Struthio camelus: one gene and its partner. The protein of the gene in region 1 purifies or fractionates together with the protein of each later gene. This does not show direct contact. Links are inferred from orthologs where the notes say so. Each region holds a gene or a part of one and is shown on either strand. Other genes may lie near its edges.

Region 1 (7,460 bases):
CCGCGCGGGGAACCGGAGCCCGGCGCGCGCCCATTGGCCGGCGGGCGAAGGCCCACGGCGGCCAATGGCGGAGCGCGCTTTCGAGCCCGCTATTTGCATCCCCGCGCGCTCTCGGCCAATGGGAAGGCGCGCCGCGGAGCCCTCATTTGCATAGCGCCGCTAGAAAGCCGCCGCCGCCGCCGCCTCCTCCTCACTGCGCTCTGTTCCCCGGCGGCGGCGGCAGCACCGGCAGCACCGGCACCGGCAGCGGCAGCACCGGCAGCGGCAGCGGCGGATGCCCGAGCCGGCCAGGCCCGCGCCCGCGCCGGGCCCCAGAAAGCGGTGACCAAGACGCAGAAGAAAGGCGACGAGAAGCGGCGGCGCGGCCGCGAGGAGAGCTGCTCCACCCACGCGTACGAGGTGCTGCAGCAGGCGCGCCCCGACGCGGGCATCTCCCCCGAGGCCGCGGGCATCGCCAACCCCTTCGCCAACGCCGCCTTCGAGCGCGTCGCCGGCGAGGCCTCGCGCCTGGCGCGCTACAACGGCGCTCCGCCGTCACCTCGCGGGGGATCCAGACGGCCGCCCGCGCGCCCGCTGCTGCCCGGCGAGCGGGCCAAGCACGCCGCCTGCGAGGGCAGCGAGGCCGGCGCCGAGTACACCCGCTCCAAGTAAAGCGGCTCCCTGGAACGCAGGGTCTGCTCCCCTCGGCCCCACGGCTCTTTTCAGAGCCACCCACCCTCTCCTAGCAGAGCTGTAAACCTTAAGAGCCCGTTTTCCACTTTATCTTATAAGATGGGACTTCCTTGCTAGGGATGTTCTTGTAGAAGTAGCTGGGATTGCTCTCTAACCTGTAAATGCTGCTTCATGCTGCATGTAAGCAGCATCTTGCACTTATAACTCGTCTTAAATTATTCCTTACCTACTACAGCAACACAAGAAAGTAGTTTTATTAGTGCTAAGGGAGTAGAAGCTTCTTTTAGGTGTCACGTTTTGTGCATCTTGCACGTTGTGCTTGTTCGTGTCTGCACTTAGTGCCCTGCTCGAACCGCTCTTGGGAGCTGCCTGCGGGAAGATGCATTTAGCAAACAGAAATAACTTCCTTTTCTGCAGGATGTGCGTTTCCAGGCAATGCTCTCCCTGCCTTTTAAGGGTGCTTAATAACCTGCTTTTTGGGGATGATGATGCTGTTCCTGGCCAGGGTGCTTGTCCTGATCGTCCCACTACAGGTTTCGGCGTTGCCTTGTGCGAGGGGGGGCTCCCGGAGAGGAAGGAGCAAGAGGTGGGCAATTCCTTTTGGAAGAAATGGGATTTCTGTGCTCATTGGAGGAATATTCAACTATTTTTAAAGGTTTTGCTTGGCAGAGAGCAGCCTGCCAGCGCCTGACGTGCTGACTTGTTGCCTTCAGGGTATTTCCTTGGTGCAGCTTGGCAGGATTTGGGCTCGGATTCCCTCTTCCGAGGGGATAGTTCAGGTCCCAGGGCAACGCTTTGGCCCATGTTAGCAGCTTGGGCCAGCCTGAAACTTCCTTAAATCCCGGGGGATTTATTGGTGCTTTTCCCGCAGCATGAGCGTTAACCACAACCAGCAACTGCCGAACGTCGTGGCGTTAAATGCCGCTCATGGGGAAACAGAAATGTTATTTCTGGGCTCTACTGTGGTTTTGGAGATGTTTTTTTTGGCCAGCCATCCGCTGTTTAGGGAAAAGCGGGACTGGAACTAAGGTACCAGTGTGGTTTTGGGGAACGCAAGGATCGGCGCAGTTTCCCTTTGCTGATTTGCGTGTCCTGGGACTGAGGAATGGGGAAACACTTTGCGAACGGACTCACCGGTGCCTCCTCCACCTTCAGGGACCCCCGTTTTTGGGGATCTCACCGGTGAAGGGAGGTTCTCAGCTGCGTTAGACCGAACAGTTGTGTGCAGCGCAGCAAAGCAGGAGGCACAGGGGCTGGCAAGTCTCCAGACTTCTGCATAAACCATTGCAACCATAATTTGTAAGGATTTAAGTCAAAACGCGTTTCCAGGTTGGAACGCTGCTGCGAGCCTAGCACCAAGCACCTTGCTCTGCAAGCCCCAAACCGCTTCCAGCTCTTTTTCTGAAACAGTGGGTGGCTCTTAAAAGAGCCTTTGGATTCAAAAGCAAAAAGAAAAGCTTAGGGCCCGCTGATTAAACTGGCCGGTCTTCGCAGAAATGTTACTTGCCCTTGGCTTTGTGGCTCTCGGTCTTCTTGGGCAGCAGCACAGCCTGGATGTTGGGCAGGACGCCGCCCTGCGCGATGGTGACGCCCCCGAGCAGCTTGTTGAGCTCCTCGTCGTTGCGGACGGCCAGCTGGAGGTGGCGCGGGATGATGCGCGTCTTCTTGTTGTCGCGGGCCGCGTTGCCCGCCAGCTCCAGGATCTCGGCCGTCAGGTACTCCATGACGGCGGCCAAGTAGACGGGGGCGCCGGCGCCCACCCGCTCCGCGTAGTTGCCCTTGCGCAGCAGCCGGTGCACGCGGCCCACGGGGAACTGCAGCCCGGCCCGCGACGAGCGCGACTTGGCCTTGGCGCGCGCTTTGCCGCCCTGCTTCCCGCGGCCGGACATGATGCCGCCACTACCGCCGACCGCCGCCGCGGCTCGCCCTTTTATAGCCCGCGGGGGATTGAAACCGCGCGTTCTGATTGGCCGCCGCCCCGCTCGGCCGCCGAACCAATAGAACGGCGCCCTCAGCCCGGCTGTCTTTCCTCCTGCCCAATAGCGGCGCGCGGATTGGAGCCGTCTCGCTTGCGATGCTCGGCGCGTAGCCGAGCTGCCCGCGCCGGAGGTTATAAAGGGAGGGCGGCGCGGCGCGGCGCGGCGGTGCAGACAGCGGCGCCCGCCAGCTCCCCCCGCCGGCTTCGGGCAGGGAAATGCAGCTTATACGGCGAGCTTTCGCCGTTTGAGATTAAAAGCCTCGTGCACGAGCTCGCTGTGAGATTAAGCGCCAGCTACCGGCTTACCTTCCCGCTTGAGGAGAGTTTTAAGTGTTTAATTTATTTTTTTTTCTCTTTTTCTTTTTTTTTCTTTTCTTTTTTTCTCTTTTCTTTTTTTCTCTTTTCTTTTTTTCTCTTTTCTTTTTTTTCTCTTTTCTTTTTTTTCTCTTTTCTTTTTTTTCTCTTTTCTTTTTTTTCTCTTTTCTTTTTTTTCTCTTTTCTTTTTTTTCTCTTTTCTTTTTTTTCTCTTTTCTTTTTTTTCTCTTTTCTTTTTTTTCTCTTTTCTTTTTTTTTTTCTCTTCTCTTTTTTTTCTCTCTTCTCTTTTCTTTTGGTTTTAAACCCTTGTGGCGCACAGCTGTACCCGCCCCGCCGCACCAAGCGGCAGCTCAGCCCCCGGCCCGCAAGGCTGCCTCGCCTCGGAACGGCGGCGCTGCACGCTGATTGGCCGCCCGCCGAGCTGGAGGCGTTCCCATTGGTCCGGAGGCGAGAGCGGCCAGGCCGCCAAGGCGGGAGCCGGGGGGGGGGGGGCGGTTCTCCCTCAGGTCCGCCCCGCTCCTATATAAGGGAGCTCCGCCCACCGCCGCCCCGCAGTTAGGGCTGGGGGAACATGTAGCGTGTGCCCGGGCTTGGGTTTTGATTTGCTTCATAACCGTTTGTTTTCCCCGGGGTTGTGCTGCAACGTGGTAAAAACACGGCGTTTTATCGCTCGAGTTTGGCTCAGAGCCTTATAGGGCACCTGCGCGCCTTCCTCCTCCTCCTCCGGTCGAGCATAACCTGCCCCAAAGCCCCGCAGCGCCGCCCCCCTTCCCCAAACTCCTCGCCTCGCTGCTAAACACCCTCCCCGTCCTCAGCAGCCCCGTAGCGGCCTTAGCTCGCGCCCATAGGGCGGCAGCGGGCGGCGGCCGGCAGGAGCCCGGATAGCTCAGTCGGCAGAGCATCAGACTTTTAATCTGAGGGTCCAGGGTTCAAGTCCCTGTTCGGGCGCTTCCGCTTTTTATTTCTTCAGCGCGGGCACTGGGTTCCTTCAGCCCTTCCCTGTCCCCGTCCGGCCCCGGCTGCTTCACCCCCGGGCTCCGCAGCCCCCGGGGAGGGTTTTTTTTCCCCCCCCAATCGGTGCCGCCGCCGAGCCGTGTGGGGCCCGGCTGGGGCTGCCAGCGCGGCCCGGTCCCATGGTGTAATGGTTAGCACTCTGGACTCTGAATCCAGCGATCCGAGTTCAAATCTCGGTGGGACCTTGCGGTTTCCTTTTATTTTTTTCCCCCTGCTTTCTCGGGGGGAAATGATTTTTTTTTTTTTTTTCTCCGCTCTTTTTGCAGCTCGTTACCGCGGGAAGTGCGAGCCGGTTCTGCCGCGGTGCTTCAGCGGTGCCCGGCTTTCCGTCGAAGCGACGTTTTTGCCTGTTTAGTTTTTCGTGTTTGAACAAAAAAACCCAACCAAACAACCAAAAACAACAACAACAAAAAAAAACAACAAAAAAAACCCTAAAAAAGAATTCGTCGGGGAGTGAAGCTGGGAGAACGACGAAACTCGCTGCTGCAACTGTCCTGGGAGCTCTGCTCCTTCCCAGCGTGGCCGCGTTGCAGCGGTTTGGGTTGGGGCCGGTTCCCGCCGCGGGACTTGGCGGATTTGCAGAGGGCAAGAAACGCTGAGAGCCGGGAGCCAGGCCCGACACCCCCTGGGTGCCACCCCGTTGGGTGATGCTCCACCACCCGCCTTGTGCATGCCACCAGGTCAGGGACCGCAAGCGCCACCCCAGGGTGACATCACATCCTGACCCGAAAGAGAAAATAACCAGGTGGAGGGACCACTTCTTCCACCCTCGCCTCTCCCGCCGGGGGCGGGGGGCACCCGGGCACAGCCGCCGCGGGGTCCAGGCTCTCCCAGTCCCTCCCAGTGCTGCTGCCCCCAACCCCGTGCCAGGGGACCAGTGGAGGTGACCAGTGAGTGGCCTCGGGGAGTGACAGGGGGGATGCTGGGGACGCCCTGCCCCAGGGGTTTGGTGGCCCACGGAGGGACAGGACCTGGTGGCAGCAGCCCTCAATGAGCCTCGAGTCCCTGGCGGGCTGGTGGCGCTGAGCGGGGTGCAGGGAGGTGAGTACGGGGCTGGGGACAGGGCTGGGGACACCGGGACGGGAGTAGGGTCACGGGGAAGGGGGGGTCGGGGAGGGTGCAGGAACACAGATGAGTCTGAGACACGGGTACAAGTATGGGGACAGGGACCGGGACAGGGACGGGGACAGCGGGAAGCGAGGACGGGGATGTGGGGACGTATGGGCGGGGGGACGACTTAGGGGGACGGAGGGACGCGAGCGTGGGGATGGGGAACGTAGGGACGTAGAAACTTGGGGACAGAGGCAGGGATGGGACAAGGGACGCAGGGACGTAAATACAAAGGTGGGGACGGGGGACGCAGAGCCAGTCGGGGGGGGGGAACGGGCTGAGGGTGCGGTGGTGCCACGAGCGCGGGGCCAGGACAAGGGGTGCAGCGATAACGCGGGGCCGAGCCCCAGCTCGCCGCCGTCTCCCCGCCCCAGACCTCCGACCCTCCCCGTCGCTGCACCCCAGCGAGGCGGTGGCCCTGGGGGGGGGACACCGTCGCCCTGCGGTACCGCGTGCCCCGGCCGCTGGGACCGGGACGAGGTGGAGGGATACGGTCGAGTTCTCGCGGAAGGCGCCGGCGCGGAGAGATGCCGGTACGAGATCTTGGAAACGTCTCGGACCTCGGAGACGAGTGATCGACCCCGTGGAGTTGGGTGAGGACCTGGCTGAGCCCGTGTGGGTTACGGGGGTGCCAGGGGTTGGGGGGGGTCCCGATGGGGCAGCGGGTGCTTGGAGCCCTCTTGGGAGCTGCAGTGGGTCCCTATGGGTCTAGGTGTTCCCCACAGAGAACGGGCTGTCCCTGGGGTCCGTGTGGGGCAGGGCTTTTTCTGGGGTGTTCTGCAGCCAGGAGGTCCCCATGGGATGGGGGTTGTCCCTACGGTGTCCCCATGGGGCTGCTGTCTGTCTGTGACACTCTTTGGAGCCTGCTGGTGACCCACTGTTGGGGACCATGTGTGGTGGCCCCCTAGTGTGACCCCATGGGGGAGCGCTTGTGATGTCCCCCCTCAACCATGACCCCCTGTTGGGACCTGCGTGGAGCGCCCTACGCGTGTGTCACCCCCGTCAGGTGCCGCGCGTGTCGCCGCAGGCGTGAAGCCGCCCTTGGGGACGGCGTGCGGCTCCCCGCGCGTGTGCCAGCCCTTCGGCGACGGCGTCTGCCGCTCCGTGTTGGACGCCCCTTGGGGGAGGTGGGCCACCACCCTCTGGCGTGCCAGCCCATCGGGGACTGCCAGTGCCTCCCTGGAGTGATGTCACGTCATCCTGGCCTCAAGGGGAACCGAAACCATCTCTGTGGCCACTTCCCTTCCTGCTCTTTCACCTCCCATCTGGCTTGGGGGGACACCCAGGCCCAACCGTGGTGGGACCCAGTCCCCCCCCCCCAGTGCCGCTACCCCCAACGCCACGTAAGGACCTGGCTCCTCCTGCCCCACGGCCCCGATGGTGGTGGTCCTCCTCCTGCTGGGCCTCGGTGAGTGATGGGGTGGGGGAATGGTGGGGACAGGGACACCCTTCCTTTTGTGGGGGTGACAAGGATGCCCTGCCCTTCGAGGGGATGGTGGGGACCACCACCAGCCCCAGGGGTTTGGTGGCCCCCGGCAGCAGCCACCAACGAGCCCCATGTCCCTTGCAGGCTGGTGGCTGGCGGCGCCAAGTGGGGTGCAGGGAGGTGAGTACCAGGCTGGGGACATCATCGGGCTGGGGACAGCAGACCAGGAGTATGGTCTTGGCGGGGGGGGGGGTGGACGGGGAGGGTGGAGGGCAGGGGGATGTGAGTACGAGTGTTGGGACAGGGGCAGAGTTGGGTGGGGGACATTGGGGCCGCCAGGACAGGGACCCGGGGATGGGGACAAGCCGGTGGGATGCAGGGACACGGCTGGGAGCGCTGGGCCGGGGGCTGCAGCGGGGACGCAGGGTCGGGGGCCGCAGGGCTGCGAGTCGCAGGGTGGGGACAGGGGACGCCGGGAGATGGCTGTGGGGACCGGGAAGGGGAAGAGGGTTAGGGGATGAAGGGGTTCAAAGACGTCCTTAAAAACACGGGGATGGGGACGGGCCCCAGCTCACCGCTGTCACCCTGCCCCAGACCTCCGACCCTCCCTGTCGCTGCACCCCAGCGAGGGGGCGGCCCTGGGGGACAACGTCACTCTGCGGTGCCACGTGCCCCAGCCGGCTGCCAGGGTCCTGATCTACAAGGAGGGAGATGGGACCTACCAATGGTACCGGGAGAAGGTGGAGGATACGGCTGAGTTCTCCATGAAGGTGTCGGCACGGGGCTATGCCGGGAGATATTGGTGCCTGTACGAGACCCTGGAACCGTCCAGGACCTTGGAGATCAGTGACCCCGTGGAGCTGGTGGAGCTGGGTGAGGGCCTGCTGGGGCACCCTGCATGCGGAGGGGGGTCCCTGGGGGGCGCCCGTGTGGGGCTGGGAGTG
Region 2 (7,847 bases), on another chromosome or scaffold:
CTCTGGAACAGCAGCAGTGGCTTCATGCCCACCACCCTCTGCATGGAGTGCCGCTCCCTACGCAGGAGGATTACTACAGGTGCATGGGACCTGCTCTCTCCATGACACTGGGCGAGCAGAATGCTTTCACTTCACAGTACAAATCTGGACCTGGTCATGGCCTGAGGATGGCAGAAGTGGGATCAGGGAAGCATTTCTCCTTAAGTGGTTGGCTCCAGCCTGACCCCCACATCTGAGAGCATGGATTCCTTGCCACTGGGGCACAGCTGTGGGTTGGCCATGACGAAGGTCATTCTTGGCAAGTGGCTCTTCAGTGGCCTGTAGGCTAATCTCTTGTATGGGGTCTCAGTTCCTTTCGTTGGGGAGTAAACTTACCTGTTTCGCACATGCTAATACAGTTCTTGCTAACTGATACCCTTGCAAAAACAACAGATGTTCACAAGAGTTGGATGGATGGTCTGTCCTAAAAAGGGTTCTTGCAAGTGCACAGGGAAGCGTACTGGGACAGGGAGAGGTGCAATATTGTACCTTTTGGATAGCATCTCCTACCTCAAGGATTTGGAAAACTTTCCAAGCCAGCACTGTCATGTGGGACTAGACTAACCAAATGCAGTGCACAGTACTAAGGTAGTTCTCCTTCTCTCTTTTTTCTCTCACAATCACCTTGTTCTTCTTTCTCCTAGTCACCTGAAGAAAGAAAGTGACAAACCCCTTTAAATGGACTCCTACTCTCAACGCGACATCATCATGTCTTTCTCTTAAGAGGAGCAGTTGATCAACCAAATCCTGGGGGAGGGGAACCTACACATCCTGATCCTACAGTGCAGTACAGTGCAAGAGCAGAATGGATCAAGAGTACAGGATGGCATCGTGGGAGCAGAAAGGAGAGGAGAGAAAATGGGGAGGGACTGAAACACCACTAATGGACATGGAATGATTGGTACATGATTCCAGCAAGGCTCTGAAGGAAACAAAATTAGCAATGCAGAGAGCTCAAAAAGACAAAGACTGATGGAAATTCAAGATTGGAGCTGCTCCATCCTTTCTTTTGGGGGAACAGTTGCATTAAATAAAAACAGTGCAGAGCATCACAGGAGTTCATGTACATGATGCTGTTGCCCTTTCTGCTTCTGTGAGGAGATGTGGCCAAGAAGTAACTCAAAAACCTGATGGAGCTTCTTTTAAAGATGCCTCCTCACCCCCCCCCCCCCCAACTTTAGATGTAAGATACAGCTAAGTAACACAAAAAAGCAACATGGAACTTTTTCAAATTAGCCAGGGTGGCTTCCCATTCTCCAAAATCCTGTCAGATACAAAGCAAGCATTATGGGACCCCTTCAGAAATGGCCACTCCTACCTAACCGCTCAGTCACTGAGGGTCTGGGTCTAGCTGTGAGGTGCAAAGCACCACGAGACTTTGCGAGACCTGAGACTGTTTGCGAGACCCAGTGGCTGTGCTTTCCTACGCCTCGAGGGAATGGTTAGGGCCATGAGGTGCAAAGCACCGGGAGACTGTTTTAAAGACTGCAATTAAAGACTGCAATCGCCTCTATCCCTTTGAGCCCCATTGGGAGAGCTGACATGGCCAAGAGCCCCTGCATCGCCCCATTGGGAGAGCTGACATGGCCAAGAGCCCCTGCATCCTGGTACTCTCTTCGCGAAGGTGGCTGCCCCTTTCCCCTCACCCATTCTAATTGATGTACTTTTAACTCATGCACATCCTATTAGACGTGGCAGTTTTATGTAGCAATTTGTGACTCCCTTATCCCGCGTGCGTGTCTGATTTCACAGTTGTATATCTCGATTGGTCCCCATATATATATTTACTTAAACATTAAAAAAAGGAAAAAAAAAAGAAAAAACAACCAACAACCCAACTATGGAAAAACACCCGAACAAAGTTTCCCACGCACTCCCAAGCCTCAACACACATTCTAATAATTTATATATATAAATATATATATGAAGCTCTTAAAAAAGAAAAACAAAACAAAAAAAAAAACCCTTCCAGAAACAGTCTGTTGTGTTCGTTTCTTTTCTACTGGGGCTAGGAAGCGATCTGGAAGTGCAGTGAAACAGCACACCTGCAGGGGAGTTCAGAAATGAAGTTCTCCCTGGGCAGAGGAGTAAAGATGGGGGATACCGAAACAGGCCGAGGAGTGGCTGCGATGCAAGTCGCTGCAGGGCCCGGAGGGTGGCGAGAGCCGGGGGCACGGCCGGGACGAGAGAGGCCAAGTGTCGCTACAGGAAATGCCAAAGCAGGGCCCGTGCGGGCGCCGCACGAGGGAAGCCCTCCTCGGCGGCGGAGCTGGGGGATCGGCCCGGCCCGGCCCGGCCCGGCCCGGCTCGGCCAACCAGCGCAGAGCGGCCCCGGCCCGGCCGCAGCGCAACACCCCCGGCCCGGCGGTGGTCACGGAGGCCCCGCCCCACCGCCGAGGGGCGGGGCGAGCGCGCCTCGGCACCAATAGGAAACAGCTTATTTACATACTACCCCAAATACGTCCCAAACCTCTCTTTTTGGCTATTATAGTCATCGGCAGCGTGGGTCAGGGAGACAGACCTGTTCGGAAGGGCGCAGAGGCGCTAAAGACGGAGGCTGAGCGAAAGATGTGGCTCGCCCTCACCCCAAAGACAGTGCAGCTCGCGTGGGCCCCCGCGCGGGGGCAGGCGCTGTAGTGATTTCAGCTCTTTTAGTATTTGTCCAGTAGGTTTTCCGCGGCGCGGGAAGCCTCGCTGTCTCGTGTAAGGGCAGAGCGGCTGCCGCGCGTGCGCGGGGAGCGCCCGCCTGGTGGCTGCGGGGGTGGGTTGGCTCCGTAGCGTGGCCGTGCGGGGGGGCGCGCAGCCGTGAGTGCGCGGCCCGCGGCGCCCCATGGCGGCGTCGGCGCAGGCCCCGGCCGCGGCGCTGAGCGCCGAGCAGGCCAAAGGTGAGTGGCGGGGGGCGGCGTGGCCGGGAGCGGGGCCCGCCGGGCGGGCGGGAGGCGGCGGCGGCGGCGGCGGGCTGGCAGCGGTGCGTGTGCCCGCAGTGGTGCTGGCGGAGGTGATCAAGGCCTTCGGCTCGCCGGAGAACGCGCAGCGCATGGACGAGGCGCGGGACAACGCCTGCAACGATATGGGCAAGATGCTGCAGTTCCTGCTGCCCGTGGCCACCCAGATCCAGCAGGACGTGATCAAAGCCTACGGCTTCAGCAACGACGGGGAAGGTGGGTGCCCGCCGGCGGGGCGGGGCGGGGCGGCGCGGCTCTCGTGTCCGCGCCGCGGCTCCCCCGACCGCCGCGGCGGGGCGCCGCTGCCGCAGCCCGCGGCTCAGCCGCTCTCCCCGCCTGCCCGTTTCCTTTGCAGGCGTGCTGAAGTTTGCCCGGCTGATCAAATCCTACGAATCTCAGGACCCGGAGATAGCCAGCATGTCGGGGAAGCTCAAAGCCATGTTCCTGCCGCCCATGACGCTGCCCCCGCACGGGGCTGGCCCCGGGGGAGTGGCGACCTCGTGAGAGCGGAGGCCCTGTGCCGTCCCGGCCCTCGGCGCTGGCAGGGCACGGCTGGACAGCGGAGACGCTGCTCTGGGAGGAACCAGGCTGCTTTGTGCGCCTTTGTATGTCTGCTGGTGAATAAAAGCTATCTGGAAAACAAACCTCGTGATTTCTGAACGGACCTGGGCCTAGCACTGCTCTGCCGGGGCGGGTCCTTTTCTCTGCTGCAGAGGCGGTTAGAGCAGTGTCCACCTCATGACTGGTAAAGCCTGTGCTAATGATTTGAGAGGGGGAGGGCTCGTATGTATCAAACTCGGAAAAAAGATGCTTGCTCATGCAAGCCTTGGCCTGAAACCACACCACCTAGTATTAAAGCAATACTTTTTTTTTTTTAAACAAGATTTCAGAGGTGCTAAGCCTTATCTAAGAACAAGCGTTTACAAATGAGATATTTGACATGTTTTAGGTAGTGGGTTCATAAACATAAGCTAGTCCCTAAGGTGTTCTTCAGCAAGTGGCCTAAATGCAGCTCAGACCCCTGTCACCAGGCCAGTCAGCCATGCTAGTTTGTTCCTCCCTGTACACTGCTAACACCAGCTTATATAGCTGCACAGTTGTCTTCTAGCTGAATGTGTGATCAGACATATTAGACCTAATGTAAAAGGCTGCAGAAAGGTGAAGCAGGGACGAGCATGGCGAAGGAGAGCTAGCCTTGCCCCTTTTGGCTGCAGCCAGGGTTAGAGCAACATAAACATAATCTAGAACTGCATCATGTGCCTGCCAAGACCAGAGAGAGAAACCAACCCAGGGGAGCAGTTCCTCTCAAGTTTGAATCTTTGTATTTGTGACTTGATTCAAGTGAAGGGGCATCAGGTACATTTGACTGTTGGTGGCCTTGCAGCTTGTATGGGTCTCTTGCCCTTAGATGTGTTGACACATTTGGGAAGGGTCAGGGTGGGTTGGGGTGGAAGGGCTGGGAGAAGAGGGAGCTGAGGGTCAGGTGCTGGAGAGCTGTGTGTAGTTTTGTTTTCTGCGTCTTTCAGCTACAAAGGGCTGAGGAATGTAGCCAGCAAGGGCGTGAACTTAGTGGATAGGAGGCAGGAAGAACAGTCAGTCCCTTCCGTCTCCATCCACCTCTCCCAGCTTGGGCTTGGCCTCCCCCCCCCCCCCCTTCTAATTATTTATTAACTACAGCCCAGGAAGTGTTTTGTGAATGGTGAAAATCAAACCCTTTGCTTGAGGCCTGCTGTTTGCCTGACCTGGAGCTACCTTCTCCTCTGTCCACACCAGAAACAGGCCGAGTTCAGAACTCTTCCCGTGCGGATCAGATACAGGTGAGTCATAGGGCTTGCAGCAGACCCAAAGCACTATCGGCTGCTCCTTCCGGAGCTGTGGAACGAACCATGGTGAGCATCCAGCCATGTCTCTAGGGTGGTCTAGGTCTTGACTTGCTCTGTCAAGTTGTTTGATCTCTCTCCCAAGTCCATTTCAGATACTACTGTGTTGATACTTCCAATACTTTTTTTTTTTTTTTTTTAGTAGGACCCCCTGGTTAAGGGCTGTGGTACTCCCTCCACCTGCTGCTTGCTGTTAGTCCCCTATCTGTGGGGATCTGCCGGTCAAGATCCCAATGCCATCCTGTGGGTGAGTGTTGTGTATGCTAGCTAGGGGTAGAAAACAGTGTTGTTGGTGAGAAAAAAATAATGGAAGTAAGAATCAGGTGTAGAGGGGAAAAAGAACACCTTATACTAGGAACTACTGGAGAGCTGGAGGACTAGGTTCACAGTGAGTTAGACTGCTGTCGCTGCTGCTCCTCCTCACTTGTATAAAGAGAGAGAAGAGTTTGTGATGACCAGTCCAATACAACTACTTTTCTGCCTTCTGCAGGCCCTGCAGCTGCAGCATTTCAAAACATTTTTGTACAGAGAGAGATCAGGTGGCAGACCTTTTTAAAGCCTGATTATTTATTGATTTGTTACTGTCTTTAGAGTCTAATTGACAAGACACATGCTCTTCACCGTCAATCCAAATGGGTGCTCTGTTGTTGGGACGTCAGCAACATGGTATAAAGAAATGGGATTAGCACCAGGGTTAATCTATGGTTAGGTTCTGCTTGGGCAGCCACTGTGGTCCAGCACTGTCCTGTGGTCCTGTAGCCTGCCAGAGAGCATCTGGCTTGGGCAAGTCCCAGGAAGATGGTCCATCTGCCCATTCCCCCAGAGCAGATGGCCTTTATCTGGCAGCTCTAACAGTGCAAGAATGCTGCAGCTGAACTACTATGTAGCTCTGTGTAAAACTGCAACTTCCTGCCTATGCTTTACCTTGGTGCTGAGAGTTACCGGGTGGCAAATGCAGTGCTGATTTTTAAAAAGGGTTCAAATGAGAACCACAGACCAATAAAATTGATATCTAGAATGAGCAAGAGATTAGACACTATAATAGAAAAAGGAATGAATATGACATTAAAGAAAGAGTCCCTATCTACTTTGGTAAAGGCAAATCTCGTCTTGAAAAAACACTGGAGTTCTCTGAGGGACTTAGCAAGCTTGTGGATAAGGGAGATCTGGCTGATACAGTTTGCTTGGATTTGACAAGTTTCCCCTCATCAAAGACTTTTAAAGAGAACTAAAGACTTTTTAAAGAGAACTAAAGCCATGGCATAAGAGAGAGGAAGATTTTTTTCTTGAGTAAAGAATTAGTAGAAAATAAGAAATGGAAGATGGGCATAAATATCCAGTTTTCACAGCAAAGGGTAGTCACCAGTGGTCAGATCACTAGGGTCTGAGCTGGGATATGTGCTGTTCAGTATATTCCTAAATGACCTGGAAAAAGAGGGTAAACAGTGAGATGAGAAAATTGGCTGATGGCAGAAAGATATTTAGGATAATAGAGTGGGAGTCAACTGTGAAAAACTGCAGAACGAACTTATGATAGAGAATGGGTGGGTAATAGAACAGCAGATGAAATTCAAAATGGGTATATGTAAAGCAATGTTCATGGAGGAAAATAATTCAAACTTCACCTATAAAAAAAGAACTCTGAAATGATCATAACCTCTCTGGAGTAAGACTGTGATCTCATAATACATAAGTGCATGCAAATGTTAGCTCAATGCTCAGGTGCAGTGAACAAATAAGCAGAAATCATAGTTATGTCTTTGTATATGTCCATGTCTCACCAACATCTTGAATGCTATGTGCAGTTCTGGGGTCCCACTTCATCCTCATCTCCAAAATGATATAGCAGAGTTGGAAAAGGCTCAGAGAAGGACAGTAAAGATGATTAGAGATGTAGAATAGCTCTGTACACAGAACATCTAAATAGGGTTGGAGTCTTCAGCCTGGAAAAGAGCTAAGGAAGGAATCAGAAGTTACAGGTCTCTAAATTCATGAGTGGCTTGGAGGGAGTGAGTAGGAACCAGAGGAATCAGTCATTGATTTTTTCTTTCATTACAACAGTCGGTTGTTAATAAAAATGGGCAGGGAACAGGTCATAAGCAAACCAAAGGAGGTGGTGGTTCTGTAGTTCAGCAGTGGAACTGCTTGTCAAAGGATGCTAAATATCTTGTGGATTCAAAGATTGACTCTACAAGTTAGTGAGGGCATTGTCCAAGTGAGCCCTGAACATCTCCAAGACTGGAGATTGCCCAGCCTCTCTGGGCACCTGTGCCGTTGCTGAACCACTCTTGGGCAGGAGTGTGTGTGTGGAATTGTTCCTATATCTATTCAGAATTTCTCTTGATGCAAGTTATGCCTGTTGCCTCTTGTCCTTTTGCTGTGTCCCTCTGAGAAGGATCTGGCTCCATCATTGCTAACCTCTCCTTCCCTGCCCCTTTAGGTAGTGTCAGACTATTAAATCCCTCCTCAATCCCTCCTCAGCCTTCTCCAGGCTGAACAAAACCAGCTCCCTCTGCCTATCTTCATGTGTCTCATCACTGGACTTTCTGCAGTTTGTCAATGTCCTTTTTCTTTTTTTTCTCCCCAGTAGTCCATATGTGAGCATCTTTTAATTGGCTCCTTCATTTATCCTCCTTTCTAAATTGATTCCTGTGCCCGTTGTGGCCTAGCTCCACAAAGGATTTAGAAGATAAGGTTCTACAGTTTGTGTTGTACTGAAGGCCAGACTACACCATAAGAATAATCTCTTTGATGCTGAAATCTCTTGACCTGTTAATTACATGAAGAAAGTATTTCAGTGGCTCAATTAGTTTGTTGTTGTATGCGCCAACTTTTACAGAGAACAGCTTCAAAGATACCAAGCAATTGCTTCTCTAAATTTAACCCACTGTGATATTTGCCCAGCTTATCAGTTGGAACTCTTCACCGGTAGTTTTTTATTATCTGTCTTGGTGTCTTTGATCTGGATCACCTGTGCACACCT

The links.
Region 2: the proteins of leukocyte immunoglobulin-like receptor subfamily A member 3 (region 1) and PTPN6 purify together in Homo sapiens (affinity purification with western blotting; 3 studies listed by BioGRID and IntAct, with this or other methods). This does not show direct contact. The link is inferred for Struthio camelus from reciprocal best matches to the Homo sapiens genes LILRB2 and PTPN6.

What each region holds. Positions count from the first base shown.
Region 1 is NC_090975.1:213,402-220,861, forward strand, and holds the start of leukocyte immunoglobulin-like receptor subfamily A member 3, read left to right. Parts: upstream 1-4,396; 5' UTR 4,397-4,870; exon of another isoform or gene 4,871-5,021; intron 5,022-5,464; exon of another isoform or gene 5,465-5,601; 5' UTR 5,602-5,683; intron 5,684-6,096; 5' UTR 6,097-6,277; coding exon 6,278-6,498; intron 6,499-6,660; coding exon 6,661-6,696; intron 6,697-7,110; coding exon of another isoform or gene 7,111-7,141; coding exon 7,142-7,389; intron 7,390-7,460. Other genes in the region: histone H2A type 2-C, read right to left, coding at 2,172-2,561. UniProt on the Homo sapiens protein: Receptor for class I MHC antigens. Recognizes a broad spectrum of HLA-A, HLA-B, HLA-C, HLA-G and HLA-F alleles. Involved in the down-regulation of the immune response and the development of tolerance.
Region 2 is NC_090942.1:90,534,499-90,542,345, reverse strand, and holds the start of PTPN6 (tyrosine-protein phosphatase non-receptor type 6), read left to right. Parts: upstream 1-4,661; 5' UTR 4,662-4,801; intron 4,802-5,006; exon of another isoform or gene 5,007-5,009; 5' UTR 5,010-5,097; coding exon 5,098-5,111; intron 5,112-7,847. Other genes in the region: ATN1 (atrophin-1), read left to right, coding at 1-79, 684-717; C1H12orf57 (protein C10), read left to right, coding at 2,870-2,924, 3,006-3,200, 3,340-3,488. UniProt on the Homo sapiens protein: Tyrosine phosphatase enzyme that plays important roles in controlling immune signaling pathways and fundamental physiological processes such as hematopoiesis.